Linked DNA regions of Rattus norvegicus. The protein of the gene in region 3 interacts with the protein of the main gene of each other region in a pairwise test. Links are inferred from orthologs where the notes say so. Each region holds a gene or a part of one and is shown on either strand. Other genes may lie near its edges. The genes, in order: Txlna, Bfsp2, Ushbp1, Cep68, Cchcr1, Dtnb and Exoc7.

Region 1 (4,151 bases), on a different chromosome or scaffold from region 3:
CGCACGCGCACGCACGCGCACACACGCGCACACACGCACACACGCGCACGCGCACACACGCGCACACACACACACACACACACACACACACAAAGAGAGGGTATTGCTATGTAGCCCAAGCTGGCTTTGAACTCAGCATCTTCCTGCTTCTGTTCCTCCTAGTTCCCCATTAGAGGCATACACTACCATATTTGGTTTGCATTAGGTTCTAAGTTCGTATTTTCACATTGTCCCATCACTCCTGTCCTTTGTTTGTGATAAGGTTTCATTATGCAGCTGGCTGGTCTGGTACTCAGGAGATGCACTTGCTCCTGCTTCTCAGGTACTGAGGTTAAAGGTGTACGCCATGGTGCCAGGTTGCCACTGCCTTGCTTTACCTCAGCCGGGAAGCCTTACAGCTGTCTCCCTTGGGTTCCACTGTACTCAGCACAGACCAGGTTCTGAGCTGTCAGCCCTGGGAGGCCCAAAAGGTAACACGGAGATGGCAAATCCAACCAATGGAGGCCTCTGCTTACTTTCTATTATTTTGGTTACCAATTATTCAGCTGGTCAGATGCGACTGGGGGACTAACCAGGTAGGAGTCAGGTTTTCAGATCAAGAAGGCCCTTTCTTGATTCTGAAGAGGTCTGTGGCTTACCTGGTCCATGTTGATATTTCAACCTTGGTGTAGCCCAATTCTATTGCTGTACAAACAGGGAAACTAAGACCCTCTCTAGGAGTGGAGAATAAACATGCCCAAAGTCAAACAGCAGGTTGAAAGTGGTGTTGTCGAGCACTTAGGCCTCCCTCCGGTTTTCCATATTCCCAGTGAGAAAGCTAGTTGGATTCCTGCCTCCACTTGGCTCCCAAGGCCAGGAGGCCTTGCACAAGTGAGTGATCTGAACAGCTCAATGGGATGACCCCATCTTTGACTAAACTGGGGGGATGTACTGTCTTGAAAAGCAGATTCTCTTGTGTCCAGACAGAGCAGGCTAGCCCATGAGATGGCAAGTGTTCACTCCCTCCCGTCAGCAGGAGCTCCCCCTCACCTAGACCCTTGGCTTTCTTCTTTTCCTGTGGCCTTCGAAGGTCTCGGTCTCCAACCTCGTCACTTGCTCGGATCTCTTCTGTGCCAGGCTCCCCCTTAGAGGTCTCTTTCTCGCCATTGACGACTGGAATGCCCGGTTCAGGCTCCCCATTCCTGGCTGCATAGGTTCGGGACTTCTCTGTGTCTTCAGGCTCAGTGGGCTCCCCCTGAGCTCCCTCCTCACCTGGGCCTCCCTGATTGTTGTCCACACAGTATGTACTCAGAATGTCTTCCAACTGTCGGCTCAGCTCCTCAGAGACATCACAGAGGGCCCCAGACTGAGATGCTTTAGCTCGAGCGCCTACAAGATGAAGACAGTGAACGTTAGGTGGTTACACCGCTCCCTTGGGTTTTCTTCTTCTTTAAGCCCAGACAAACACCACTTGTGTGGGTTAAACGTTCCATTTATTTATTCAGTTGAGACAGGCTCTCTCTACAGGGCCTTGGCTGTCTGGGAACTCACTATGAGGATGAGGATGACCTCAAACTCAGATCTACCTGCCTCTGACTTCTGGGTTCTGAGAACAAAGGTGAGGGCCACTATGCCTGGCCTCAATTTAATTTTTTTAAACCCTAAGTCGTATAAAACGTTTTTATAAGACGAAACAATTATTTCTAACACCCAAACATACTTGTTATGACCATCAAAGACAACTGTGTAAAGCACCCCTACAAGAGGGACGACTGACGTGTAGCAGACGCTCTGTCTTATGAAGGACAATTAATCACCGGGCACTGGCAAGTGGGAATATGACTTTGCTTATGGGGCGCCTCATTTGATTGTCATTTGGTTTAAACCAGTCAGAGCATGCCCCCAAGGTTCCGTTCCAGGGCTAAGAGTGGAAAGCTTCATCACCTCCCTAGGAAACATGAGGATCACAGAATGGGCATTGTTTCATTCTATAGTTCCTCCTTCCTGGGTAAATACTGGCCTCAGATAGATGCAAGTACCAGAAACTCCTCCCTCTGCCCACTGGAAAAGCAGAGCTGGCACACACCCTCGGTCTTCCCAGGAGCCTGGCTTGTGGAACCTTCAGCTTCCGCACCAGGAGCTGTCTGTCTGGGCCGTCCATGAGCTCCCTCCGGTCCTGCTTCCCGTTGCCCAGGGCTGTTCTTCGGGTTGGAGTGTTTGGCAGGCCCATTCTTTTTGTCTTGGTTCTTCATTGTGATCTGCAAGGCCAGAAAAGGGGTAGATCCTTTACGGACACCGCTGCTATTTTCTAGACTTCAAAATTCTTCACAACCTAGATGAGAAATCTCCAAATCTGAAGCTCTAAGCTTCAAACAAACTGGTCGGCCTTCGCCTGAGACTTCACGGTCCCGGGCAAGGTTTCCGAGAAGCTGCACCAGCACAGAGTGAAGGAAGGAAGAGGCCTCCCTTCTCCTGAATGCCACTTCTCAGCACCACACGGCTCCCTCTCGGCAGCGGGAGCGCGGGATTGGCTCAGAGCCGCAGACTGACGTGGCGGGATGCTCCAGTCCCGACCGGCCCCCCGCCCCACCAGGTCCCACGTGGGATTCCCGCGCGCGCGCGCGCGTACACAGAAGACACCCACACCCCACGCGCCCTCTAGACCCGAAGTACGCATGCGCAGCACGGCAGCACACAACTCTCCCCACCCCGTCCACAGAATTAGTTGTTCCTCCGCGGCTAACGCGTCCTGGGTCATGGACCCTCTGAAGAGCTCGTCCCGTGTACAGCCCAAAGACATACTTCACCGCGGACGTCCGACCGCGTCCCCGACTCTGGCCGAGCACCGGAAACCTGGGTAACTGCTGCCAGCTGGACCACCCTCTCCTGCGGCAGCCAATCAACAGCAAACGCTGGCGCGGAGCTTGCTGGGAAAAGAGGCCAAGGCGGCTTTGGAGGCGGGAGTGGGAAAAACTACGAGTCCCTTCATGCCTTGCGGCAGGTCACAACTCCCGAGATGCAACCGAAAAGCTTAGGAGCCAAATACCCTGAGGGTCCGAAATTATGTCATTCGGTCTAGAGATTCGTGTCAGCCTCCTTCCTAGTACAGAAACTATGATTGGCCCTTAAACTTTGGCAGTCTGGATTTTTTTTCATACACTCCCTTATGAACATGTATGACTATTTTAGGATCTCTGAGGACTTGCGAGTGGAAGAGAGAAAGAAGGGTAAACTGTGAATTAGGAGATATTTATCTCACGCCCAAACCACTAATTTGTTATGTGCCTAGTATCCCTCCCCTCTCCATTCCAGTAGAAGGTTTATAATAATCCAAACAATGTGTTCTTCCCTCGTATGTAATAGCTTGGTCCTCATAATTACTCAGAGAAAGAACATTATACTCAGAGATCTGGGAAATATAGGGCAGTACGGAAAAGGCTAATTAAAAGAAAAAAGTATGTACTATTGTTTGTTAGAGACAATGTCTCATGTGTGGCTTTGGCAGGCCCCGAATTCTCTAGGTGTATCAAATTGGCCTTGAATTCAAGAGTTCTGCCTGTCTTTGTCTCTCCAAGACTGGGACTAATGGCACGGGCCACCATGCCCAGGTAAAGGGTAAATAATCTATGGCTCCATCCATCAATACTGTGTGCTTATTGCGGATTCAAACCTGGAAGCCTGACACCACCCATCCTTTTCTTAATCTTCTCCCCAGTGCCCCATTCCATTCCACCCAGCCCAGTCAGGGTTTCTCCGTGTAGCCCTGGCTGTTAGTCTTTGACTATGCTGGCTTCTACCTCAGATCCAACTAAAACCCATCTTAACCATTCTCCGCCATCACAGGCTTTGAGACCAAGTATGCCCCGCCTTCTGACATCACCAGCTTGGATCCTCAGGAGGGGATTGTAGCAAGGAGGTTTGGCTTTAGGCGGATTGGTAAACTCCCACTCAGCCCTGCCCCACTTTCTGCAAAGTACCACGTGCTCCTACATGGGCTAATGCTTTAGAAAGTTAGATTTTGTCTTTGTTCATTAGGATTTTCGATGCTTAGATCATTCAAAAACAAACACAATTGTGATTTCAATTATTTACTTGTTTGGAGTTTGCTATGTTTGATAAGGTCTTGCTTTCTAGTGCTGCCTGACTTGGAACTCGCTATATAGATCAAGCTG
Region 2 (4,132 bases), on a different chromosome or scaffold from region 3:
CGATATCCGCACGTTCGGCTTCTGGAGCCACTTTCGATATCTGCTTACTGGACTTTGTATCTGAACTCTCTAACCTCGACATTGAGATGCCTGGTGCCTCCTGGTACATGTATGTGCATGGCATCTGAGTATCATGTTGTCCAGCAGATGCTGCTGAGATGAAATATATGGCATGTTCTAGGGGTTAGTGTGCCACACATATTTGAATTCAAGATAGCCGTGGGGACTCCCAGAGGAGTGGCTGCCTCTTGTACAGGCTGTAAAGCCCTGAATGTTTGAGGCTCTCCCTCACAACTCAGAGGAGTGTGGACAGAACAGCTGCACTGGCCAGAAGGACAGTATTGTATTCCCTTCTCTATGGGCTGCTGAGAACAGTGAAGGAGAAGCATCACGGGCTGAAATGGGGGCCTCCATGTGTGCCTCTGTTGGTATCACCCAACCACACGTAGGCCACTCGTTGACCTCCTCTCAGTCTACATATCTGACTCCAGGGAGCAAATGGGACTTGGCTACTTCTGGAATAGAGACTGATTTAGTTCACAGTCATCCCAAGGCCAACATTCAGGGAAGAAGGCAGAGCCAGCTACCCCCGGAGCTGAGATGGACAATGCCTGGGGGGTGGGGTGTGTGTTCTAGTCTTAGAACCAGAGCTTGCAGGCGCAATTGGTAGATGAGCTTAGAGTTCTATGGAAATTATTTCAGGGAACAAAAAAGCAACTCTGACCAGGTGACAGGGAAAGGAGGCTGCCACACCCCTGCCCAGCAAGATGACTGTCGGCTGTAGGTGGTGATCTGAAGGAACAAAATCCGGGTAGAACAAAGTGTCAAGTGCTCAGTCTCAAAGGCCACATTCCAAGGACTCTGTTGCCATGGATGGTGTGATGTAGCAATTTTTTGAATGGAAGGGGAGGGAGGAGGGTGGATCCTAAGATCCAGGAAGTTTGAGGAAACTTAGAAGGCTTAGAGCCTTGTAAGAGTCACGCCCTCCCCCATTATATATGCAATAAACCCTTGTGGGGAGGGGAGGCTCTTCTTTAGCGCTACCTGCAAATTGGGCAGGGAGCTCTTGGGGTATAGCTTTCATGAGTCTTGCCCGTGCGCTTTTCAGGGGTGCAGTCTCCTTTGATACAATCATACTCAACTTTGGTAAGTAACCCCGATAAACTCATTGGTACTAAGCTAGACTTGGGTAAAATATTTGATTGTTGGTAGTGCCCTGCCTGGGGCAAAATGCATTTGTCCATGTCTGCCCAGGAGAAGCCACATAACCGATGGCCAAGACTGTAAGACATTTCCATCCTCCATAAGGGTCTATCTGAGTCAGAACTGTTGTGCTCGTATTTCTGTATTGATTTCATACTGAAATAATCTTTTTCCTTATTGAGTCAAACAAAATATTAACACCAAATTCACTTGTTTATACACACACACACACACACACACACACACACACACACACACACACCATAGGTAATAGGAAATTGAAAATTACTTGTATGGTCCATATTCCCACTGATCCCATATACTCATTTTATCTGGATATAGGAGACCCCCCATTTATTTAGTCACCATTTAAAATAGCACATCCATCCAATGGTATTGGGTTCTGTGAAGGCTTGAAAACCCTTTGCACTAACGGTGACGGAGGCAGTCCCAGATAATAGGACAAGTGCAACTTTGAGGAAGGGAAATCCAGGGTCACATAATCTGCTGCATCTCCATTATAGTGGTTCTCAACCTTCCTAATGCTGGGACCGTTTAATACAGTAATTCCTCATGTTGTGGTGGCCCCCAGCCATAAAATTATTTTGTTGCTACTTCACAACTGTGATCTTGCTACCGTTATGAACCAGAACAGAAACATCTGATATGCAGGATATCTGCATGTGACCCCTAAAGGGGCTGTGACCCACAGGTTGAGAATCGCTGCTCTATTTGCTTATGGCCTGGGACCTTGTACACAACTTGGGTTTCTCATCTGAAAAGTATACACAGTGAGAGATTGGTTGCAGAACGTTGTTGGGGTGTTTTTGGTGTGCGTCGGGTGTACATTATGCCTGGGTGGTCCTGGCTCCTGGTCAGCCTCAGTGAATGGCAACTCACCAGTATTAATCTTAGACCACCAGCAGCTTTGGTATGCAAGTGGTCCGCTTCCCTGGCCTCTGATTCTGCGCCATCTTCACTACCTTCACCATCCTCTCTCAGACCTCTAGTAAACCTCCAGGCACAGCTGGAGGACTTACCTGCTGGTAGCTGCTGGCCCAGGAGGCACGGAGGGCATCCCAGCCTCCGGAGCGCTTGGCCTTGCTCTCCAAGTGAGCCCGTAGTTGTGTCTCCAGCTCCTGGCTGACTTGTTCCAGAGCGTGCACCTTGGTCATATACTCCACTAGGCAGCCCCCCAGGTCCTCAGCAGTGGCGTGATTCCTTTCTGGGCCTGGAGCAGGTGCAGTGGCAAGGCCTGAGCTCCGCAGGCCCTGCAGGAAGACACTGCTGATGCCCAGGGCCCGGCGGGTCACTCGGGCACCGAGGCCACCTATGCCACCACTGGGTGCTACTCCTACATAGACCCCAGGGGCACGGACGAGGCTACCTACAGCACTGGTCCTGGATGCTGGGGGGCTATCCAGGGAGGAAGGAGATCGTGTTCCCCTAAGGGATGACACCCTGTGCCTTTGCAGGGGCATGCTGGCGTTGGATCCTGAGGGCAAGTCCATTGCTACTCTCCTCTCGCTCATTCTCACTGCCTCTGTGGTGCATGGCAGGTTCACACGGTCCAGTGGCTTTTGGTTGCCGCCCCAGCATCCCCATGGCCTGGTCACGGGCCTCTCTGGAAGCTCCCCTGTCCCCGAGCTCTTTGTCTACTGCCTTCCACGAGTTTCTGGCATTCATTGAGCTGGAAGAGAAGCGCCCTACCAGCCTGTGAGAGGCACACAGGCATTCTCTGTTGCTGGGTCATGTGCCCAGACATCCAGACTTTTCTGGGGTTGGGGGTAGAGCAGTGCTGCCTGTGGGAATGGGTCATCTAGGTTTGCCTATTTCTTTTTAGATAGTGTCTCTATCGTAGGTGGGCCTCAAAATCCTTATGTAGCCAGGAAGACTTTAAACTTTTGATCCTTCTGCCTCCAATTCCTGTGACAGAATCGGGCCTCATGCATACTCTCTGAACCTCAGTCTTTGGCCTTGATGAGTATGTTACTACCACAGAGAGGTCAGGTGGGCAACAAGCTGTCCCTATTTCACTGGTGAGGAATCGGGCTACAGAACCTTAGAAGACAAGCGTTCTGATCTCCAGATCTCACACTACAAGCTGAGACTCCATGCAAGAGCCCCAGGGCGGTTTACAGGACTGGCCTTATCCCTTCATGTACGAATGTGTGCATGAGCCAGCCCAGCCACGGAGGAAGGCAGCCCCAGAGGCCCAAGGAAAACGAAGCAAGCCTGCTCATGCTTTCTCCCTTCGGGTCTGGCAGCTGTTCCAGGCCCCTTTCAGCTCCGTTCTTCCCTCCCCGCCATGTCTGCCCTCTGACACTGTGCTTGTCAGCTGCTGGCTGTTGGCCTTGTTTCTCGTCCTCTCGACCTTGTTGTACATGCTGCTCGATTGCTAACTCTGACACAGCAGACGCTCAGGAGTGAGTTTAGGACCTGAGCTGCTTGCTGGGCAGCTGTTGGCTCTGGTTTCCCTTTCACCTCTGTCTCACCCTTTAATAAGACCAAGAAGGGAAAACAACAAAGGGGTTTCCTATCCAAGTTAGGGTTTCCTCAGCACCCAAGGATTTTTATCTTATTTTTATGTACATTGGTGATTTAACCGCATGCATATATGTGCGAGGGTGTCAGATCCCCTGGAACGGGAGTGACAGAGTTGTGAGCAGGCATCCCAGGTTTTACTCCTTATCTTTGGCATCCTCCAAGTCACACTGTCAATGGTTAGATGCCAGTCACTTCTCGGGGGTAGAATGGTCCCTCCAGCCTGAGCAGGACATGGTCCTAAAAAGCCATGTGCCAGGTGAGGTTTTAGTGTATTGAAACCATACACCCTAGGTCCAGAGATGGACCGTGGACTCCTTGGTCCTGTAATGGGAGGGTTGATGAGGGTTGACCCCAGGCAAGAGACAGGGACAGAAATCAATTT
Region 3 (4,233 bases):
TGTCCAGGAACCACCCTCAGGTGAAGTAACAGCTTGTTCGTTTTCCTTTTTGTTTGTGACAGCTTCATGTGGCCCAGGCTGGACTCTAACTCTAGAGCTATATGGTTTATCCACTGTAGAAGCTTCCCAAAGCTCCTTTTCCCCTGAAGCGGCGCCGGTCAGGTTCCCGGGGAAACACAGGAAACCCAAATAGCCGACCAACCTTGCAAAGGATGCGCCTTTCTCGGGGTAGCGTCTCGGGACTTCAAGCTTCCCCCCCCCCCAAGTTCTCAAGCAGAACGAACCTGAAGCTGCAGCAAGCCGAGTCGAAGTTAGACCGCGGCGACACAAAGTTCGCGCGCGTTCACACCGCCGCAGGTTCCACTGCCTGGGTACCGGGGCCAGTCAATCAGGTCTCTAGGAAGCCGCCATCTTCCTTACCGGAAGTGCTACCTTCTGGGAAATGTAGTTCAGTGGCCTTCAGGACGTGGAAGCTGATAGGCTGAGGCGTTCTAGGGGTGTAGCTTGGAGTGTAACGGGCTGGAATGGGGCTGAAGAGGGAGGGGTAGTATTGAGAGTGGGTGTGACCCGTGGTGAACTGAAGCAAAACTGAGAGGAATTTGTAGTTCGGGCTTAATCACACTAAGGTTCTCAAGGCCTCTGCTGTGATAGGACAAGAGATTGAGCTGGGCGGGGCCGTTTGATGATTGACGGGGTAGGAATTGGCTTGGACTTGCCTAGGGCCCTCTCAGTTACTTATGTGACTTGGGCTGGTATTCATTCACTAGTTCCGCGATGCGAGCTGGTGGTGCACACCTGTCATCCCAACACTCCAGAGGCCCGAAGACGAAGATCGGGTGTTTAGACAGCCTGGACTATATGAGACGCTGTGTGAAAACCAAATGGAAAGAAAAAGTAAAGAAGCCACTGTGGACAAGCTCACTGTCGCCGGTGACTCCAACGGCCTGATGCAGTAGTTCAGTCTCGTTGAAGAGAAACCTTGTGGGCTACTGAACAGGTGCAGGCTCTTGCCGCCAATCCTGACGACCTGAGTTCGATCTCGGAGACAAGCAGTACCATCACAGACAAAGATAAATAATGAAAAATAAAAGCTATGCAAGTGCTGGAGCCAACTCTCTTAGTTTTGTTTTTAGAGACACAAAATAAAATTTTAAAAAGACCTTCACATTAGAGCGAGCCCTGATGAACAGGGGGACACAGAAAATCCAAAATAAAAATGGAGGCACTACATGTTTGGGCTGGGATAAGGGGATACTGATATCTTGGAGTGGGACAAAGGTCCTGGTCCTCCATCCTCTTCCTGTTCTGGAGGAAGCTGGCATCCTGGAGAAGGAAACAAAACAATAACTGTCCATGTGATCAGGGTAGGGAGCTTCCTGTTTCTCAGCCTCTCCCAGGCCACCTTTGGCCATTGCAGCCTCAGTAGCCAGTGGCCAGAATGGCCTGAGATATTCTTAGGAGTTCAGACCTTTCCCAAGGTGCCCTGGAGAAGAAGAGAAGAGGGCCGCAGGGCCAATCCCCAGGGTGAGGGAGTTTGGTACTAAGAGAGTCGTGGGAAGAAGGAGAAATCTTAGGATACCACTCAATGCCTCCATAGGGAAGAGAGGGGGCACAGATAAGAGAAATGAATTCAGACAGCGGAGGGAAAAGGAATGCCCGGTAGAGATGGGTGACGGGGAGGAGGAGACAAGTAAACAGTGGGCACTATTGGAGAGGTATTTAAATATTTAAATGTGTCAATCAGTTCAAACGAACCAAAACTCCTACAGGAAAAAACAAAAAACAAGGATACCAAGGTAACAAAAGGCAAGAACTGAGAGCAGGCTGTAGTGACAAGAGTAATGAGTGCCCGGGCCACACGACCCCGAAGCCGGCGAGGGAGGCATCCTCTGCCTGTAAGTGTGCCCCTCTTCCTGCCACACCCAGCCCATGGATCCTGGGAACCCAGGTCTGCTTGGCTCAGAACCTGTTGTGGTACAGGGGAGACCTCCACAGGGAGAGCTGGATGTGATGACCAAGAGCCCGTGTGTGTGTGTGTGTGTGTGTGTGTGTGTGTGTGTGTGTGTGTGTGTACGCACCCGCACATGCACGGGAGTGTCATTCACAGGGGGAGCTGGACCCAGTAGCTGAGAGCTCAGAGGAGGTAGATACCACCAATGGGAGCTTCGAGACTAAACCTGAGCTGCTTCAGGAACATCTTGGTCCTAGCCTGCAGGGCCCTGGGAACCGGTAGGATGCCGGGGCCCATACTCAACTGCCTCCAGCTGCTCACCTGCCATAGCTTCCCCTGCCCGCTTCTCTCCTCTTCCTTTTTACCCTCCAGCCATGAAGCTCAGTCCCTGCTCAGCCTTCCTAGGGACCCTGGGGTCAGCCCTCCGCCTCTGCTGAGTCTCAGGTGGCTAGGGTTCCTGATTATCCTCACAGGATCAAGGAGGATTGTGATGTGGGATCCCATGGGGTCCTACCCTTGAGCCCGGAAGAACGGCGCGAGCCTGAGGTGGAAGCCCACCAGGCCCTGCAAGAAGCCCCTCTGGATACTGGCCCTGCTGAGATAACAGCACCCAATGTGTATGAGACCTTGAAGTGCAGGCTGAGCTCCCTGGAGGCAGTTGTAGCTGCCTGGCGCCGCCACTCGCTAAGCTTTTCAAAGCCAGTGGAGGCAGAAGACAGAGACCCGGGAGCTCCGGGGTCTTTTGGTAATGAGGAAGAAGCCTCTGGACCTGGACAGCAGGAGGCAGCGCACTTCATAGAGAGGAACGCCTGGCTCCGGCTGGCCCTGGGCACCCGGGAGGAGGAACTGGCGCGGACTCAGGCTTCACTGCAGGACGCCCAGGCAGAGAATGAGACTCTGCAGAGACAGGTGAGCTGGTGACTGGGAAAGAGGCAGATCCTGCTTTGAGAGTAGACACTGACGTGGGTGGAGCAGTGGCAGATGTGCCAAGGAAGTGACCAATAAAGACAGCGCGGTGAGAGGGGGAGCAAGGGAGACCGGCAGTCTGCACCCCACGATCTTAACACGCAGGAAGCTCAAGAGGGACAATCTCTACTCTGGCGAGCCCTGGCTAAGACCAACGTTCTTCTCAGCTGTAGACTGAGTCCAAGGTTAGCCTGGGTTACAGACCCTGTCTGTGTCAGTTGCACCGCAGACAGACAGACAGACAGACAGACAGACAGACACAAATCTTATCTTGGGGGTGGTGTTTTTTTCCAATTCAAGGTTTCTCTGTGTAACAGAGCCCTGGCTGTCCTGAACTTACTTTGTAGACCAGAATGGCCTCGAAATCACAGAGATCCCCCTGCCTCTGCTTCCCTAGTGCTGGGATTAAAGGTGTGAGCTATGCCAGATTTGTTTTAAGGTTTCTATTGCTGTAATAAAACACCACAATCAAAAGCAATTGGGGAGGAAGAGATTTATTTCATCTTAAAATTCTCAGGCCTCACTCTGTCACTGAGGGAAGCTCAGGCAGGAACTTGAAGGCAGAGGTTATGGAGGTGTGCTGCTTACTGGCTTGCTCTCCATGCCTTGCTCAACCTGCTTTCTTATCTCAGCCTGCCCAGGGATGGCACTACACACAATGGGCTGGCCCCTCCCTCCCCATCAATCGTCAGTCAGGAAAATGTCCACAGGTCCAATTGGGGGAGCATTTTCTCAATTGTGGTCCCTCTTCCAGAATGACTCTAGCTGAAGTCAAGTTCACACGAACCAGCACAACTCCTGAGATCACTGTAGCTGGAACTGAGTGGGAGAGGTGAAGGCACGTGGGGGAAGGTCACAGTACGCAGGGTGCTGAAGGCTGGGCAGGATTTACAACTGTGTTCTTGTGTGTGGTGGGTTCTGAGGGGAACCCTGCTGCAGGTGTTCACTTGCGCCATCTGATGCCTGTGAGAGGAACAGTCTGGCGGTGGACCATAATCCTGAAGGTGGAGGAGGGGCGACAGCAGTGGCTCGGGGCGTTTAGTAGAGGTGACCAAAAAACCTACAGATTATGGGTGACGTTAAACCCAGATGTGATAGGACAAGCCTGTAATGATAAGGACTTCAAAGGCTGAGATGAGAAGATCATAATTTAGTACTAGCTTTGAAAAGATAGGCAATCGTCTCAAAACAGAACAGAGCCCTAGCTGGTTCTGCTAAGAATCCTCGTCAGCCTGTGGGCGTGGCTCAGGGTAGAGTGACAGCGTAGAATACTCCAATGAGGGGCTAGGGGCGTGGCTCAGCGCTTAGCTTTCAGA
Region 4 (3,976 bases), on a different chromosome or scaffold from region 3:
TCAGCTCAGCTGGAGATACTCTCCCTTGGGAGCTGCACCGCCTCTGCTGAGGAGGCTTCCTCTCTGAACTGTGTTTCCTGAACTTCTGGGTTTCAGGATGCCCTTCCTACTGAGCAGGAACATTTACAGAAGGACGGTGGGCCAAGATCAAAGAAGAGTACAGAACACACCTTGTTGAGACCATCCAGATGCTCAATCGCGTTTACAGTATTGACTGCTAAACGACTTCGTTTAAGTCCTTTATTTTTTTTCCCCCCTTAAACAAGTAACTGGATACACACTGGTAAATGCTAACTTCCCATTCGACATATTTCAGTTCTGAATTCCTTTTTAACTTTTTCCTTCTGGGTTGAAGAGGGAACTAAAGGCCTTGTATATAACAATACACTTTCACTTTAAAACACCCAGTACTTGGAAGACAGAGACAGAAGATCGGGAGTTCAAAATCAGCCTGGGATACGGTGAAACTTACTCTCACAAAAAAAAAAAAAAAAGCCAAATAAAAAGCTGGTCATGATAGAGCTTGCCTGTACTCCCTACACTGGGGAGGCTGAGGCAGGAGAAGCCCCTTGACCAGGCCAGCCTGGCAGTCAAGTTTGTGATCCTTAAGTTGGACTCTGTCGTGTTAGGATCAGTCCAGCTCCTTCTGTAACCGCACAGGCCCAGGCCACTATGGAAGTCCCTTCTCCAACTATTGGTGTTGACAGTCTGGGCCTCCTGCGACTCAGAGGCTCCGAATGGTGATGACCGGCAGAGGGATGCTCAACCCAATCCTGGTCCTCGCCCGCCTCCCGCCCTTGCTTCGAGCATGCCTTTGGGGTTTCCACACAACGTAAAAGGGGGAGCACCAGGCCTGGAACCACCCTCCCTGCGGCGGAGAGCACGTCCGCCCAAACACAAGCCTGAACCCACAGTGGCCCCCTATCCGCCAAGAGCGCGCCCTGCTACCCGCGCCAGTCCGCGTGGGCGCCAGGACCGCGAACACCCACCCCGCCCGCGCGTCGAAGCAGCGGAGAAAGGAGCTCCGGCTTCCCATAGGCCAGGGCCCTGCAGGGGGCGGGCTCTCATGCAGAAGCGGGCTGCGGATTAGTGAAGCATCCGAACCGAGGGTCTGGATTGGCTGCTTCTTCGGGCGTCCTCCACGGAGAAGCGGCACGGGCGGAGGGCGTGGCGGGCGCTGGGCCCTCCCAGCCCCAGGAGTGCGGGCGCCCGCAGGAGGCCCGTCGTCGCTGCTTGGGACCCCGGCCCAGCTATCCCAGCCGCTTGGGACGTGCGGCGGCGCGGAGTGAGGTAAAAAGGCTGTGGCGGGCGCGAGTGTCGCTGCGCCGAGACTCGAGACCGGGCATTCCCCGCGTGCCTGGGGCTGCGCGTTGGGGGACCCTGTTGGAGGCCCGCGGCCCGGAGGGCACAAAGGCTGGCCGCAGTGGGGGCGCCTCGCGCCTTCGCCTCCATCTTGCGGGCCGTGCGGGGTGGAGGGGAGCGAAAAGGCAGGCTGTGGAGGACCGGCGCGGCCTGCAGAGCGCGTGGGGCCGCACCTCTGGCAGCCATGCAGCTGTGCGCGCGTCGACCTTGGTCGTGGGGAATCAGCGGGTCACAGCGACTCGCGTCCGGGTGGCCGCTGCTTCCCCTGGCACAGTGAACGCATCCGAGGAGGAAAGCAAAGCGTCTCACTGGTTATCTCTAAGATCTACCCTTGTCACCTGTTAGCCAGTCTCCACAGCCCCGGGGCACATGCCCCAAACTTAGTAATTTTATGATTACCATGTTTTATTCAGTGCGTTGTTTATTATTAAAAAAAAAAAAAAGGAAGCGAAAAACTGCCAATGCCCGAGCAGAGTAGACCTCACTTGGAATTGATGAGGTTTAGACACGGAAAGAGGTAGTCTGGTATACAACTTGCGACACTTTATGGTTCGGGCTTGGTTAAAATACAAGCCACCACTCCTCCTGTTCTCCCCAGCGGACTGGGTTAAATCTGGATCCCTTAGGAACAGTGTAAGGAACCCAGCTTCACATCATCACGAAACCTTTTTTAAAAGTTTTTCCCTGTCCCCACAACTGAAAAACATACCCTTCTCTGGGCGGCCTTTATGGGCTTCTGTTGGCACTGAGGTGGTTTCCCCATCCCCTAACAGGATGAAAGGTCTGTAAGGGAAGGAAGCCAAAAGAAAACAAGAACAAGTTAAGCCAAAAGTTGAGGAAACCGGGACCTTTAAAAGCCTTTAAATTGTTGGATTATTTTTACAGGTTAGGGAAGCAGCTGTGCTCTCGGAATTGAATCAGACGTCAGTCCCTTCCACACTACTAATTTAGGATAAGTTCACTTCTCTGTGCCTTAGTTTTCTCATCTATAAAGTGGAATTTAGGCCCCAGCACGACGAGGAAAAAAAAAGAAATGGATAGGTAGAGGAATAGTGCAAATCCCTAAAACACCTAAGATAAAAAGAGGTACTTGAAAAGACCTACTGGAGTGCTTAGAAAAGAGAGGCAGGTGCATCACCGAGACTCAGGCAAGCCTGGCCTACATAGTGTGTCCAGGATAGCCAGAGCTATATAACACAGAGACCCTGTCTCGTCTTGCCCCCGCTCAAGTACCAGTACCAAGCATCTGTATAATTCTTGCTTCTTCACTGTCTCTGTCCTTTCATTTTTTTTAACTTACCAAATTGTTTAATGAAACACTGCAATACCAATATCAACATTTGACAAGTATGACATGAGAAAAGAAAGCTTCACACCGGTTTCTCGTAATTTAAGTGGAAAAAAAAATCAACTAAATATCAAACCAAATTCTGGTATATACAAAAAAGATAATCCAGCACAGCAAATTAAAATAAATCTAGAATGTAAGTTGGCATTTGAAAACCAAATTATCACCGAACTGCCTCGACCTGCCAGCCGCCCAAGTAATGATAAAGAGATCTTTTATTAGTTTTGAAAACTTAGCCTTAGGTTAGGCTTGTTTCCAACTATCTCCTATAACTTAAATTAACCCGTTTATACTTATCTACCTTCTGCCACATGACTTGTTCCCTCTCCCCAGTACTGTCCCGTTTCTTTCTCCATTTCTGGCTGGCCATCCTTCCCTGTCCTTTCATTCTTGAGCCCTTTGTGAAGGCTGCTGTGACCTGGGAAAGTATTCATAGATTTAAAGTCCTTACCCTGTTGTGGCAGGAAGAGGGTCTGGAAGTATGTACCAGGCCCTGGCCCCCACTGCCTACCGCTGTCAGGGCAGCACCAATACACCACCACCATCCACCCACAGGGCCACTAGGACCACAAGGTTGAAACTTTTTAAAAATTTTAATTCTTGAACCTTTCATATGGGGGCTGGAGAGATGGCTTAGAAGTTACGTGCACTGGCTGCTGTTCTTCTATAGGACCCAGTCTCAGTGCCTGACACCCACATGGCCACTACAATTGTCCGCAACTCCAGTCCCAGGGGGTCCACCCCTCTTCTGGCTTCTGTAGGTACAGCATACATGTGCATAGGAAAATTGCATACCTGTATGCAGTGTGCTGATCATATCTGTCCTTCACCACAGTTCTCCTCAGGGATCCCCACCACGTGAAGCAGTTACTTGTGTGGAGGTCAGAGGCAGCACACATGCGTGTGGTAGGGACAGGACAGTTTATGAGAGCATTTTCTCTCCTTTTCTAAAAGCTGACCACAGTTTTCCTGATACCCACCCTGCATACAGCTAGTTTCGGCCATCTCAAGCCTGTCTTCCCTTTTGTCATTATGAATTTACCCCTTGTGTGTTACCGTCCTGCCTAGCTTGGCCTCCACTGTGCTGCCCGCTCCCAGAAGCCGTGAAGCCACATATCCTGTTGAGCTCCATGCCCTGCTCACACCTTTCCTCTTCCTCGCTTACTAGACACGATCTGCCGCTGGGTGTGTTATGGCGTTTCTCTCTGGACCTGTGAGTCCGGTGAGGCTTCATTGTTGAGGCCCCAAACCGAAAGGAGCATCCCT
Region 5 (3,500 bases), on a different chromosome or scaffold from region 3:
CACCTCCTGTTGGATCAGGTGGGCACTTAGCTGCAGTTCTGCATCCAAGCGGTTCCGTTCTTCCCGTAGCTGCTCCAACTCAAGGCTCAGGTCCGTGTCCGGTGGGGGTGCAGGTTCAGGTGGGGGACAGCTGGGACAGCGATGATGGAGTCAGAGAAACCTCCCCAGCAACTGAGTGACCGGTGCCTCCACCCCTCCTTGGTCCCTCTGGGTCCTAGCAGCCAACAGGTTGTCCCCAACATCCACACACACCCCTCCACCTCAATGTGCCCGAACTTTACCTCTCCAGGCGCAACTGAACAAGAGCCAACTTTCGAGCCATCAAACCTGAAGAGAAGAGAGGACAGACAGATGAGAACACGTGGACAGAGGGTGGCGGGGAGCACAGGACAGTGATAGTTACCAAGGCAACAGAGGACAAACATGGGGTTAGATCCAGAGCTAAGAGGAAGAGGGCTAGGCCGGAAGGAGGGCTAGGTCATTCTGTGTACCTTTAATGGTGTGGACCTTACGGACAGCATAGCTGAGCCGGTTGCAGAGGCTGGGAATCCGGGCTACAGCCTGGTCCACCCTGGTCATGGTGCTCTGGAGTCTGGCCTGAGTGCTGAAGAAGATATAGGTCACTCACGGTCCTTCCTCCCCTCATCCCTTCAAGACCCGCAGGGTCTGGGGCAGAGGACACGTCTGTCCTGTCCTGGTACATGAGCGGGGAGTGTGGGGGGAGGGGGGGGGCTGTTAAGTAGCCAGCAAAGGAGAAACGGGAGCCTACAGGAGAGGCAGGACCTTGGCGAACCCTGCAGGTCAATCCAGCTCCTTAGCAAACCTAGAGGATCTAAGTGCTTAAGCTCAGTCAGAACATCTCAACTGGGGTACGGGTGTTCAAAGCCTGGAAGGGCTTTCTGGTAGCTTTTATTGAGAACCATGTATGTGATCTGGCAGAAAGTAAAACCCCAGACACGACACCGTAACATCTTCCTGGAGGCAGGCACGTGCAGAGCTTTGAATCTGGTTCTTCTAAACTAGTCTGACTCTGTCTGTGCAAGTTTAAAAGTTTCAGCTTTCCTTTCTGGTGCCAGGGATTGAAACCAGAGATTCCTGAATGCTGGGTAAGTGTTCTGCTACTGAGCTATAGACCAGCCCAGCTGTACAATTAGGGTTGCAAAAGAAGGAAGGAGGAAGAGAGGGAGGGAGGGAGGTTTGCACACGGCTGCAGTTCCCTTCCCTGACCTCCGAAGTCACAGCTCCTCCTAGCTGCCCTACTTAGCTTCAGAGCACAGTAGACCAAAGTGCAGGAAGCCGGCATACTCCATCCTGCATCCTCCTGCCTGCCTCTCTCTCTCTCTCTCTCTCTCTCTCTCTCTCTCTCTCTCTCTCTCTCGCCTGAGGCTCTTCCGGGCTCCTCCACCTGCTGCTCTGTGACAGATACCTGTTCATAGCACTGACCACGAACTTCAGCTGCTCCTCAGCAGAGGCCGCCTGCTGCTCCTGCCTCCACCTGGCCTCCTGCGCCTGACTCAGCTCCATCTTCAGGGTCTGGTAAGGATGCAGCTTTGTGTGCGCTCTCTCTCGTACACCTCCCTCCCTGGCCCCTGGCCCACAGACCCAGCCAGGGTCTTCTTCACCCTCCTTCCCTAAGGAGCTTCACCCTCCTCCCTTAAGGAGCTTCACCCTCCTCCCTTAAGGAGCTTCACCCTCCTCCCTAAGGAGCTTCACCCTCCTCCCTTAAGGAGCTTCACCCTCCTCCCTTAAGGAGCTTCACCCTCCTCCCTTAAGGAGCTTCACCCTCAGACCTTGGTGCTCATCCGCTCCACCTCCACCTGTGCAGTCTTGTCTTGTAGGGCACGCTGCAAGATGGCCTGCTCCTGGCTTTGGGCAGTCACTTGCTCCTGGAGCTCTGCTACCTACAGGAGCAGAGGGAACTGAGCAGGGAAATCTAGAGCCAAAGCTATGGGGAATGCCGGTGAAGGAGACGGGGCAGGAGTCTCCAGACTGGGGCTGCAGAGATGGCTCAGTGGTTAAGAACGCTGGCTGCTCTCACAGAGTTCGAGTCCCTTTTCCCACAGGATGGCTCGTAACCATCTGTAACTCCAGTTCTGGGGGAGCAAACACCTCCTGACTTCCATGGGCACATGGTACACAGACATACATGCAGGCAAAACATTCAGACACATAAAACAAAATAAACACACCTTTTCTTTCTTTCTAAGACAGGGTTTCACTATGTAGCTCTGGCTGTCCTGGAACTCACTATGTAGACCAGGCTGGCCTCAAATTCAGAGACCCTCTGCCTCTTCCTCCTACCTGCTGGAATTAAAGGAGTACACCACACCCAGCTAAATTAAGTACGAAAGAAAGAAAGAAAGAAAGAAAGAAAGAAAGAAAGAAAGGAAGGAAGGAAGGAAGAAAGGAAGAAAGGAAGAAAGAAAGAAGAAAAGAAAGGAAGGAAAGAAGGAAGAAAAGAAGGAAGGAAGGAAGAAAAGAACGCCCAGTGTGGTATGGTGTGGTAAGACGTACCTTTAATTTCAGCATGAGGAGGGGAGAGGCAGGCAGATCACTTATTGGCCAGTCAGGTCTACAAAGTGAGTTCCAGGACAGCTACAGTACACAGAAAACTCTGTCTTGAATCTTCTTTCTGAGTCAGGCTGCCCACGCTTTGGGAAACCATCCTGATCCCTTCCCCTGACTGTGCCACGCCCTGATGGATGCTGTGGCCTGCTCAGAGAGGCCGTCCCTGACCATCCTATCCATCCACCTCAGTCTTGTCACCACCGCTTCTCCGTAGCACGTGTATGACGATGTGACCCATTTTTCTGCTTCTCCGTGCGTCCTTCTAGGACTCAAGCTCCGTGAAAACGGGGACTCTTCTGCTCAGGGCTCTGTGCCCAGCATGTGGCAACCACCCAAAGACTAACTGTCATCACTGGGAGAGACACAGCCCCTGACCTGGTCCCTCAGCTGCTTGGTGGAGTCCCTGTGCTGCAGGTCCTGGGCTTTGAGCTGCACCATAAGGGCAAACACCTTCTCCCGCCAGCCGCGCAGCAACGAGCGGCACTTCTTAGGAAACTCGGGCTCCAAGGGGTCTAGAGGATGAATCTGCACGTGGGAAAGAAGGGAATGGATCTTCTAAGGAGGCGGGAACTGGTGACCTTGTCCTTCCAGTCCTGCCATCCACGGTGAGGCGGTTAGGGGTCTCAGTAGTATACCACCTACCTTCCCCAGAGAGGGAAGGCCTACAGCAGGGCAGGGTTTGGAGGATGAGGGAGGGGCCTACCTTCCTGGTCAGCTCCTCTTCTTGCAGGGCGAGCATGTGTGTGAGGCTCTGTACCCGTACCTGCAGTAGCTCCACGGTGGCCTGAAGGTTAGTCCTGTCCTCCTTCAAGTGCTGGGAAAAGAACTCCATCATTCAGGATCCCCACGCTACCCTCAGACCGAGGGTAGTCCCAAGGACAGCATGGCTTCCCTTCTAGAGGGCTATGCTCTCTCCTCCCAATCCATCCCCT
Region 6 (4,202 bases), on a different chromosome or scaffold from region 3:
ATTCTATAAAAAAATGGCAATATGAGGGGCTGGAGAGATGGCTCAGCAAAGAGCACTTGCTATGTTATCCGAGGACCTGCGTTTGATTCCCCAGCATCCATCCACACTTCACAGTTCCAGGGGATCCAAAACACTCTTCTGGCCTCCGGGGGCACTCACGGGGTGCAAACATTGCAGCCCAAACACTCATACACATAAAATAAAACATAAATGCTTTAAAAAAGGATAGATGAGTTGGTAATAAATATAGATACATAAATAAATGAAGCTTTGTCGCCCCTGCTCCCTTGTCCAAGCTGTTTAATGTCCAAATACTCCCACTTTCAGGAACTACTGAACGACTAAGCGGAAAGTAATCTGTCCCTCCTCATCCTCTCACCGCATCCGGCTGTGGCTTGCCTTTGCGCAGAGGACCGGACTCGGTCCTTCGCAAGGCTGCTCTTCTCCCTAAGTTATGCGCTCTTGGGGACCAGGGCCGTGACCCAGATCGTGTCCACCGGGCACCAGGCGCATGAGTTAGTGCTCAAACGAGCCTGCTGAGGCAATGTGGAAAGTCACTCGGGGGAGGACCCGGCGCTCGAGGCGCGGGTGAATGATTCACCGGGTATTTCTTCGCATTCCTTACGGTTCAGTCACGTCGGCGCAGCACCCAGCCGCCCGGCAGCTACCTGTGGAGTGGAAGCGCACCTCCGCCTCCACCTCCGCCTCCGCGGCCAGCGCACAGCAGAGGCCCGGAGGGGGCGCGCAAACCCGCGGGAGGGCACTCGGCCGCCTCCCCGCCCCCTCTGGCGGCGGAAGCCCCGCCCCTCCGCGCGCCCGCCCTCCGCGCGCACCCGCCCTCGCCCTCGCCCTCGCGCCCTCGCGCCGGGGGCGGGCTCGCTGCGCGTGCCGGGCGGGGAAGCGGCGCGAGCCGGCGCCAGGAACGTTCGCCGCGGGGGCGGCTCCGGGGCCTGAGTGGGCGCCGCCGCCTCAGTCGCTGCCGCTGCTTCAGCTGCCTCTGCCGAGGGGGCCGGGTCGGAGGAGGCTGCGGCCGCCGGAGAGCCACGCGACGGCCCCTCAGCTTCGGCCGGGAAGCGAGCCAGGTGGGGAGTCCGCCGGGGCTGGAGGAGCGAAAAGGAGGGCTGCGGGGTGGCGGAGCGCGCGGCCCTGGAACGGCGACCCTTGGGAGACCGCACGCCGGGCCGGAGAGGGCTCTCCGGTCACCCGGGCGCGCGGGGGGCCGCGGAGCGCAGAACCCGGCTGCGCGCGCTGCTGATGCAGCCTGAGCCGGACTTGCGGGGAGGAGGCTCAGCGTTAGGTGCTGAAGGGGGCGAAGGCGGCAGGTCCTGGCAGAGGGCAGGTGAGGTAGGCAGGCCCTGGCAGAGGGGAGGGAATTCATTCCAGATCACCTCTCAGTGTCTCCCGAGGCTCCCGGTAGACGAACCTGTCTACTCAGGTCACCTCTGATGGGCACAGTGTCCCGAGAAGAGCGAGGATGCAGCTGACGAATGCTTACTGTTAAATTCCTGTGCCAGGCCTTGGGGAATCAGGGAGACCTTTCTAGCATTCTCTGCAAGCGTTTATTGATTAGCTACGGAGCAGGAGAGAACCGCGGTCAGCGCCCGGGTCACGACTTTATCACTCTCAACCATCATTTATTTGCTGTTGAAGTGCTGACAGTCCGGCTGTGAAAGTATACACACAAAATGTAAAGTGCTCTATTTTATGTTTCTTGTTCTGTTCACTTCAGGTCTCTTTAGGATTTTCCCAGCCCTGGGAAACTGGGCCGTAAGTTGCTTGGCTTGTGGAGAAAGTAAGATACTTGAGGAAAGCTGGTGGGAGCTATTGGGAAGAGATTTGAAGGGTCTTACTGACATTTAAAAGAGAGGGGAAAGAAATTTGGAAGGAGAATCTTGCCTTCCCAACTAGAATTAAGCTCCGCGCCTGTTTTCTGCCCAGTCCTCAGGATGTGGCCTGGATCCCGAAAGCCCTACAATGGATGCCCACTGCAGGAGTGGATGGAGGGACCAGGGTTTGATACATTTGATATGAAGTAGTGTCAGTCTCTGTAGAGTTAGGGATGCTCGCTGGCTTCCTTTGGTCCTAGGATTCTCTTTTTGCCTTCTCAGGTAACCCAGGGTTTTAGACGCTAAACCAGTGGCTTAGGTGGCAGACTCCGGTGGCTTGTGGCCACTTCTTCATCCACGCGGTTCTTGTATGTTGTGCACCAGAAGCTTGTTCTTTGGGTGGCTGCTTGAAGTCAGGTTCCGGTCCTTCTCTCATTGGCCTTTTCCCCCCTCCTCTGTCGTTTGAGGAGGACTGGAGGGAGCTTTTGCCTAGAGAACACTTTATAATTTCTATCCTGCCTCTTGGATCTTGGTTCTGAGGTGAGAGAATGCTTAAGTCTCTTCAGGTCTGTAAGGGCTGGAGTTCTGTCCTCTGCCTTGCTTGGACTCTCCAGCCCCATACTGCTGCTTCCTTTCCCTGGCTTGCAATGCCTGTTGGATTACTTTGCTTGCCAAATTAAAACTTGACCTTTTATGTGTTCTCTGAGGATTTTTATCAGACTTAAGTGGAACTGCCTCTGAAGGGGTTGTGCAGGCAAGGTGGTGCTGGCAGGGTCTTTAGCTTCACTGAATTTTGCCCGGGAGACAGAATATAGTTAAAATATTAGAGTGCGCAGGATTTCCAGTTACCCTTTATTTCATGTCTTCAGATGTTAACATATCTGACCCTTAGTCTCCTTATATAAAAAATAAGAGCAATATTAATCCAAATTTGTCATTGGATATATAGAAGCCTTGAAGTATATTCATTTAGTTCATTTTAATTAGTATTTGCATTTCAGGGTACAACCATTAAGTCTCTCTTAGGTTTTGTTTTGGGGTGCCTATGTGGCTTTGCAAATTTGGGTGTCTTGTTTCGGGCACTTCTAATATTTTATTTAGATATTTAATTTACATTTATTTGAAAATAAACCCTCTACCCCCGGTTTTTGAAGCAGGGTCTTGCTGAGTAGTAACCCCAGCTATATTGGTACTCGAAATACAGTAGCCCAGGCTGTAAGTTGACTTTGAACTGTGGCTATCCTTCTGTTAGTCCTTCCTGTGAAGCACCATGGCTGGTTAAAACAAACTTTTTGTTTGTTTGGGTTAAAGATAGGGTCTCTCTCTGTCATTCTGACTTTGAACTTATGTCTATTCTCCTATCTATGTGTCCTGGGATTACAGGTGTGCACTACTGTGCCTTCTTCATGTGTAGTTTACATAGGATAAAATGGATAGACTTTGCATATTGAGTTGGGTATTTTGAAAAAATGGTACATATTGGTGGGCATGGTGGCATATGTCTTTAGATTGAAGTCCTTAGGAGGCAGAGGCAAGCTGATCACTTCAAGTCCAGCTAGGGTTACATAGGAAGACACTGTTTCAACAACAACAAAAAAAGCAAAACAAAGTAACAAAAGTCCCTCCCCCAAGAAAACAAACAAAAAAAGAAAAGACATGTGTACTTTGTAACCTATCCCAATCAAAATATATACTTTTGTATCATGAGAAAGTTAACTCCTGCTGTCTTGGGGACAACCCCTCCCTCTATTTTATTAACTTAAAATTACATAAGCATTAGAGCTGTGGTTTCTAGATGTGCTGGAGGTACGCTGCTGTTCTAGGGTGTCTTTTGCACTGGAGTCTCTCTGTGCTGGCAGCTCCTGGAGTTGCAGTAGTTTGAGCAGTTCAGAATGCATATTTGCTTGTAAATTGCTCCAAATAAAACTCCCTTGACATACCTACTCCTTTTTCTACTCCGGTTACCAGTTTGTTGTTTTCTTCCCAGGCCTTTTTCTATGCATTTTACTTTTTTTGCATGTGTATGTGGTATGGGGGAGTCTGCATATGGTATCCATGTACCATACATTGTATATGCCTGTGAAAGCCCAGAGTTGACACTGGAGGTTCTCAGTTGCTCTCTTACTTATTTATTAAGTTCAGCCTCCTCCTGAACCTGGAGCTGGCCAATTTGGCTAGTCTAGCCAGTCAGCTCGTTCTGATGACTCCTGTCTGTCTCTAGAGCGCTGGCATTGTAGGTGGCTGCTATACCTGCCTGGCTTGTATGCGGGTTCTAGAGATTTGAACTCCAATTCGTATATTTGCGTGGCAAGTGCGTTATCCACTGAGTCATTTCCAGCTCTCTTTGCATTTTACTATAGCATTCTGTCTAGGTTG
Region 7 (4,050 bases), on a different chromosome or scaffold from region 3:
GAGATAGGGCCCAGGGATTGACCTGCTGCTGATTGGCTCAGACTGGATGAGTAAGGAGTTTAGCTTTTGAGAAATGAAGAGTTGGTGCCTTGAGCTGGGGCAACAGGAGGGGCAACGGTTGCAAGGCAGGGAGATAGAGCAGAGAAACAAACAAACAAACAAACAAACAAACAAACAAACAAACAAACCAACCAACCAACCAACCACATACTCCGTGCAGGAAGTGGGGATGAATCTGGTGGGCTAGCTGAGGGACTGCCCCGGCAAACAGGTAAACAGCCTTGTACTATACAGATGTCTCAGTGTCTTTATTATTAATCTCCACGTGGGGTCCCCAAAAGCCCTGAAGTATCTATTGTGAGCCACTCTGTGTGCGATCCTGTCTCCAGACTTGAACCGTTAAGGTATGATTTGCAGAAACAAATTCATCACCTCAGCCAGAGCTTTTATCACAAATCAGGGGGTGGCAGCTGGAAAGATGGCTCAGCAGTTAAGAGCACTTTCTGCTCTTCCAGGAGGCCTGGGTTAGGGTTAGGGTTCCCAGAAGCCACATGACAGCTCATAACTGTAACTCCAGTTTCAGGGGGATCAGATAACCTTCTTCTGGCCTTCCAGGGGACCAGGCACGGGCAAAAAACATCTATACACAATTTAAAAAAAAAACATAAATAAATCATGATCTGGTGAGATAGCTCTGCAGGTTAATACACTTGCTACCAAGCCTGACACCCGAATCTAATCCCTCTGGGACCCACACACGTGAAGGAAAGAACTGTATACCCTGTATACCCACTACAATCCTGCACACGGTAGGCAGAAGTCAGCCTGGTCTACACAACCTATTCCAGAACAGCCAGAATGGTCTCAAAAAAAAATTTTTTTTTCAGGTATATTGTTGATTTGCTTGGTTTTTGGTTTGGGGACCGAGTCTGACACTGTAGCCTAGGCTAGCCTGGAATTTACTATGTAACCCAAACTGGCTTCGAATTCGTGAATGGTCTCCTGCCTCAGTCTCCCAGTGTGAGAGTGTGAAGATGTGAGCCAGAATTCCCAGCAAGGGTCTGTCTTTCAAAGAGGCGAGCAAAGGATCTATGCCTCAGGTGAGCAGCTTGTCCAGCCACATTCAAGATGGCTTCGATCCGCAGCCCGTTCGCGAGCTACCGCAGGCACACACTTCCGCCTGCCACTCCCAACATGGCGCCACCGGAGCGTCCGGGGGCGGGGCCGAGGGAGGAAGTGGGTGTGACAGGGACGGAAGCCGAGCAGGGTTTGGAGCTAAGACATAGGGGAGTGGGAACAGCGCTGTCCGCTGCGATGATTCCCCCGCAGGAGGCTTCCGCTCGGCGGCGGGAGATCGAGGACAAGCTGAAGCAGGTGACGCTGGGGAGGAAGTGAAAGAAGGGCGCAGGAGCATCGAACCGGGGTGGAAGGGGACATAGGGTTAGGTGTAGGCCGTGGTGCTGGGTGGTGGTGGTGGTGGTGGTCTTTCACCATCCGTTTGTGGTGATGTCCACCTCTCTGCTCCTCGCAGGAGGAGGAGACGCTGTCCTTTATTCGAGACAGCCTGGAGAAGAGCGACCAGCTCACTAAGAACATGGTGAGTTGCCCCTCAGCTGGGAGGCTGCAGACAGGCTCCTGGGCCCCAGAGGAGGGGCATGTGATGGACGTGTCCTGCGCCTGAGTCCAGGGACTCCAGCGTGGGTAGTAAACTGTGGTAATATGTAGGCATCTCATGCGGCGATGGGTATCTCTACTCCCCAGTCTCCACCCCCTCACTGAGGATACCGCTGGCCTGGACCTGTTACTGTCTGTCCTTCTGCAAACATTTAGTGATACTTTGTACATGGTCTGGTGCTGGCTCCGTGTCATTGTCAACTTCAAGCGATGCATGCTTGCCTGAAAGGTTGAGCTAGTGAGATTACCGAGGTAGAGAAGTCCCAAGGGGCTTTAGAAACAGAAGTGTCTCAGAGAACTAATGGGTCTTAGATCTAGCCCTTGTACCACAGCTTACTTTAGTGGTTCCTGGTGGGTAATTTATCTGGTAAAACAATGTCAGCCTCCCAGTGTGTCTGTGAAGGGGCATATACATGCTCACAGTGTCTGGTATATGATAGATACTTTAAAAGTGCTTGATCTTTTCCTTGGGGAAAGAGTTTTTTGGGCTTTGTTGTTGTTTGTTTTGTTTTTCGTTTTAGGCAACAGTAATAATATTTGCAACTATTCTGGGTAAGGCTACTTTCTGTTCAGTCTAGGAAAACTTCAGAGAGAACAGAAATTGAGATTTGGCTTTCAAGGGTAGAAAGGAAGCTATCCTGAAGTGTTTTTGTTTTTGTTTTTTAAGATTTATTTATTAGGTATACTGTTCTGGTTGTGTATATGCCCATGTGCCAGGAGAGTGCACTAGATCTCATTACAGAAGGTTGTGAGCCATTGTGTGATTGCTGGGAATTGAACAAGGACTTCAGACAAGCAGCCAGTGCTCTCAACCGATGAGCCATCTCTCCAGCCTGATTATCTTTTTTTTTTTAAGAAAATGTATTTTATGTGTATGAGCGTTTGCATGTGTGTATGCATACTATGAATGGGCAGCGCCTGCAGAGGTCAGAAGAGGGTGTCAGATCCTCTGTAACTGGAGTAAATTGCATGCTGGGAACTCAATACAAGTCCAAGAACAGAATCATCTCTGTAGGTCCCTGGGAATGATGATCTCAGCAAGAATTAGTTGAATGTTTATCTTGCCTTAAGATGAAATTCCAACCACATACCAGAACCACTAGGGATACAGGGTAGCAAACAAGTCGACCGTGTGCCTTCCTATGTGTAGCTTGTTGTCTAGAAAACCAAGGAAAGACAAGAAATGTCTGAGTACTTCCAGGACAGCCCTGAGGGCCATGAACCAGAGGAGTTCCTCCCACAGGTGTCTATCCTGTCGTCCTTTGAGAGCCGACTCATGAAGCTGGAGAACTCCATCATCCCTGTGCACAAGCAGACAGAGAACCTACAGAGGCTGCAGGAGAATGTCGAAAAGACCTTATCCTGCCTGGACCATGTTATCAGCTATTACCACGTAGCCAGCGACACGGAGAAGATCATCAGAGAGGGGTGAGTTTCATGCAGAGGGTCACATAATTAATGTCTCCTGGACCCATGGCCCTAGTCCTTAGAAGGCAGTAAAACACATTTGAGGGTAGAGCCCCTCGTAGGGATTCCCTTCCTCTCCTGCAGATCTTGTCTGTAGTCTGTCTAGTTAATCCCCGTCCTCCAAGGCTGACTGACCCAGGTGATGTCTTCTTTCCCAGCCCCACAGGTAGGCTGGAAGAATACCTGGGAAGCATGGCCAAAATCCAGAAGGCTGTGGAGTACTTTCAGGACAACAGCCCAGATAGCCCAGAGCTCAACAAAGTGGTAAGGAACCTGTGGACTAGTGTAAGACAGACAGACGGACATCAGTCCCCATCCGCATCTCATGAGGGACACGTGACAGTTTAAAGAAGTATGTGGAAGCCAGGTGTGGTGGTTCATGCCTAGAACTTGGGAGCTTGAGGCTAGCCTGGGGTATATGGTATTCCAGTCCAGCCTGGGTTATGTAGTGAAACCATATCTCAAAATGTTAAGCAAACATATAAAGGAGGGAGAGATAATAGCATTCAGAATGCACACATTAGGTCCTGTGCCTCGGGACTTACAGGCATAATTTTTTTATCGTACTATTTCAAATGTAAGTTTAGCGTTTGAGTTTTATATATGCATTGGTGGTTTCTTCATTATGGTAAAAAATATAGGGGTTGGGGATTTAGCTCAGTGGTAGAGCGCTTGGCGCAAGGCCCTGGGTTCGGTCCCCAGCTCCGAAAAAAAAGAAAAAAAAATATATATATATATCTCCTGTACTTAGGCAGGGTGCCTCACACTATAATACTAGGACTTAGGAGGGCGAGGCAGGATTGCAGCAAGTCCAGATTGGCCTACATAGTGAGTTCCAGGATGGCCAGAGCTACATAGCAAAACCCTATAAAGCAAAACAAACACATTAATCATAAAACCGGCCATTTC

What was found.
Region 1: the proteins of Ushbp1 (region 3) and Txlna interact in binary tests that used the Homo sapiens proteins (3 or more experiments, as listed by UniProt). The two-hybrid records come from large-scale screens. The link is inferred for Rattus norvegicus from reciprocal best matches to the Homo sapiens genes USHBP1 and TXLNA.
Region 2: the proteins of Ushbp1 (region 3) and Bfsp2 interact in binary tests that used the Homo sapiens proteins (3 or more experiments, as listed by UniProt). The two-hybrid records come from large-scale screens. The link is inferred for Rattus norvegicus from reciprocal best matches to the Homo sapiens genes USHBP1 and BFSP2.
Region 4: the proteins of Ushbp1 (region 3) and Cep68 interact in binary tests that used the Homo sapiens proteins (3 or more experiments, as listed by UniProt). The two-hybrid records come from large-scale screens. The link is inferred for Rattus norvegicus from reciprocal best matches to the Homo sapiens genes USHBP1 and CEP68.
Region 5: the proteins of Ushbp1 (region 3) and Cchcr1 interact in binary tests that used the Homo sapiens proteins (3 or more experiments, as listed by UniProt). The link is inferred for Rattus norvegicus from reciprocal best matches to the Homo sapiens genes USHBP1 and CCHCR1.
Region 6: the proteins of Ushbp1 (region 3) and Dtnb interact in binary tests that used the Homo sapiens proteins (3 or more experiments, as listed by UniProt). The two-hybrid records come from large-scale screens. The link is inferred for Rattus norvegicus from reciprocal best matches to the Homo sapiens genes USHBP1 and DTNB.
Region 7: the proteins of Ushbp1 (region 3) and Exoc7 interact in binary tests that used the Homo sapiens proteins (3 or more experiments, as listed by UniProt). The two-hybrid records come from large-scale screens. The link is inferred for Rattus norvegicus from reciprocal best matches to the Homo sapiens genes USHBP1 and EXOC7.

The regions. Positions count from the first base shown.
Region 1 is NC_086023.1:147,266,474-147,270,624, forward strand, and holds the start of Txlna (alpha-taxilin), read right to left. Parts: upstream 2,801-4,151; 5' UTR 2,688-2,800; intron 2,238-2,687; 5' UTR 2,232-2,237; coding exon 2,066-2,231; intron 1,369-2,065; coding exon 1,030-1,368; intron 1-1,029. UniProt on the Homo sapiens protein: May be involved in intracellular vesicle traffic and potentially in calcium-dependent exocytosis in neuroendocrine cells.
Region 2 is NC_086026.1:112,939,447-112,943,578, forward strand, and holds the start of Bfsp2 (phakinin), read right to left. Parts: upstream 2,801-4,132; 5' UTR 2,736-2,800; coding exon 2,244-2,735; intron 1-2,243.
Region 3 is NC_086034.1:18,099,068-18,103,300, reverse strand, and holds the start of Ushbp1 (harmonin-binding protein USHBP1), read left to right. Parts: upstream 1-1,433; 5' UTR 1,434-1,524; intron 1,525-1,769; 5' UTR 1,770-1,841; coding exon 1,842-1,895; intron 1,896-2,107; coding exon 2,108-2,229; intron 2,230-2,424; coding exon 2,425-2,860; intron 2,861-4,233.
Region 4 is NC_086032.1:98,669,069-98,673,044, reverse strand, and holds the start of Cep68 (centrosomal protein of 68 kDa), read left to right. Parts: upstream 1-1,176; 5' UTR 1,177-1,290; intron 1,291-3,976. UniProt on the Homo sapiens protein: Involved in maintenance of centrosome cohesion, probably as part of a linker structure which prevents centrosome splitting. Required for localization of CDK5RAP2 to the centrosome during interphase. Contributes to CROCC/rootletin filament formation.
Region 5 is NC_086038.1:3,212,766-3,216,265, forward strand, and holds part of Cchcr1 (coiled-coil alpha-helical rod protein 1), read right to left. Parts: intron 3,383-3,500; coding exon 3,272-3,382; intron 3,094-3,271; coding exon 2,944-3,093; intron 1,902-2,943; coding exon 1,791-1,901; intron 1,534-1,790; coding exon 1,427-1,533; intron 605-1,426; coding exon 492-604; intron 328-491; coding exon 282-327; intron 131-281; coding exon 1-130. UniProt on the Homo sapiens protein: May be a regulator of keratinocyte proliferation or differentiation.
Region 6 is NC_086024.1:32,285,080-32,289,281, forward strand, and holds the start of Dtnb (dystrobrevin beta), read left to right. Parts: upstream 1-1,402; 5' UTR 1,403-1,672; exon of another isoform or gene 1,673-1,687; intron 1,688-4,202.
Region 7 is NC_086028.1:102,036,502-102,040,551, reverse strand, and holds the start of Exoc7 (exocyst complex component 7), read left to right. Parts: upstream 1-1,250; 5' UTR 1,251-1,314; coding exon 1,315-1,374; intron 1,375-1,531; coding exon 1,532-1,597; intron 1,598-2,917; coding exon 2,918-3,102; intron 3,103-3,299; coding exon 3,300-3,405; intron 3,406-4,050. UniProt on the Homo sapiens protein: Component of the exocyst complex involved in the docking of exocytic vesicles with fusion sites on the plasma membrane.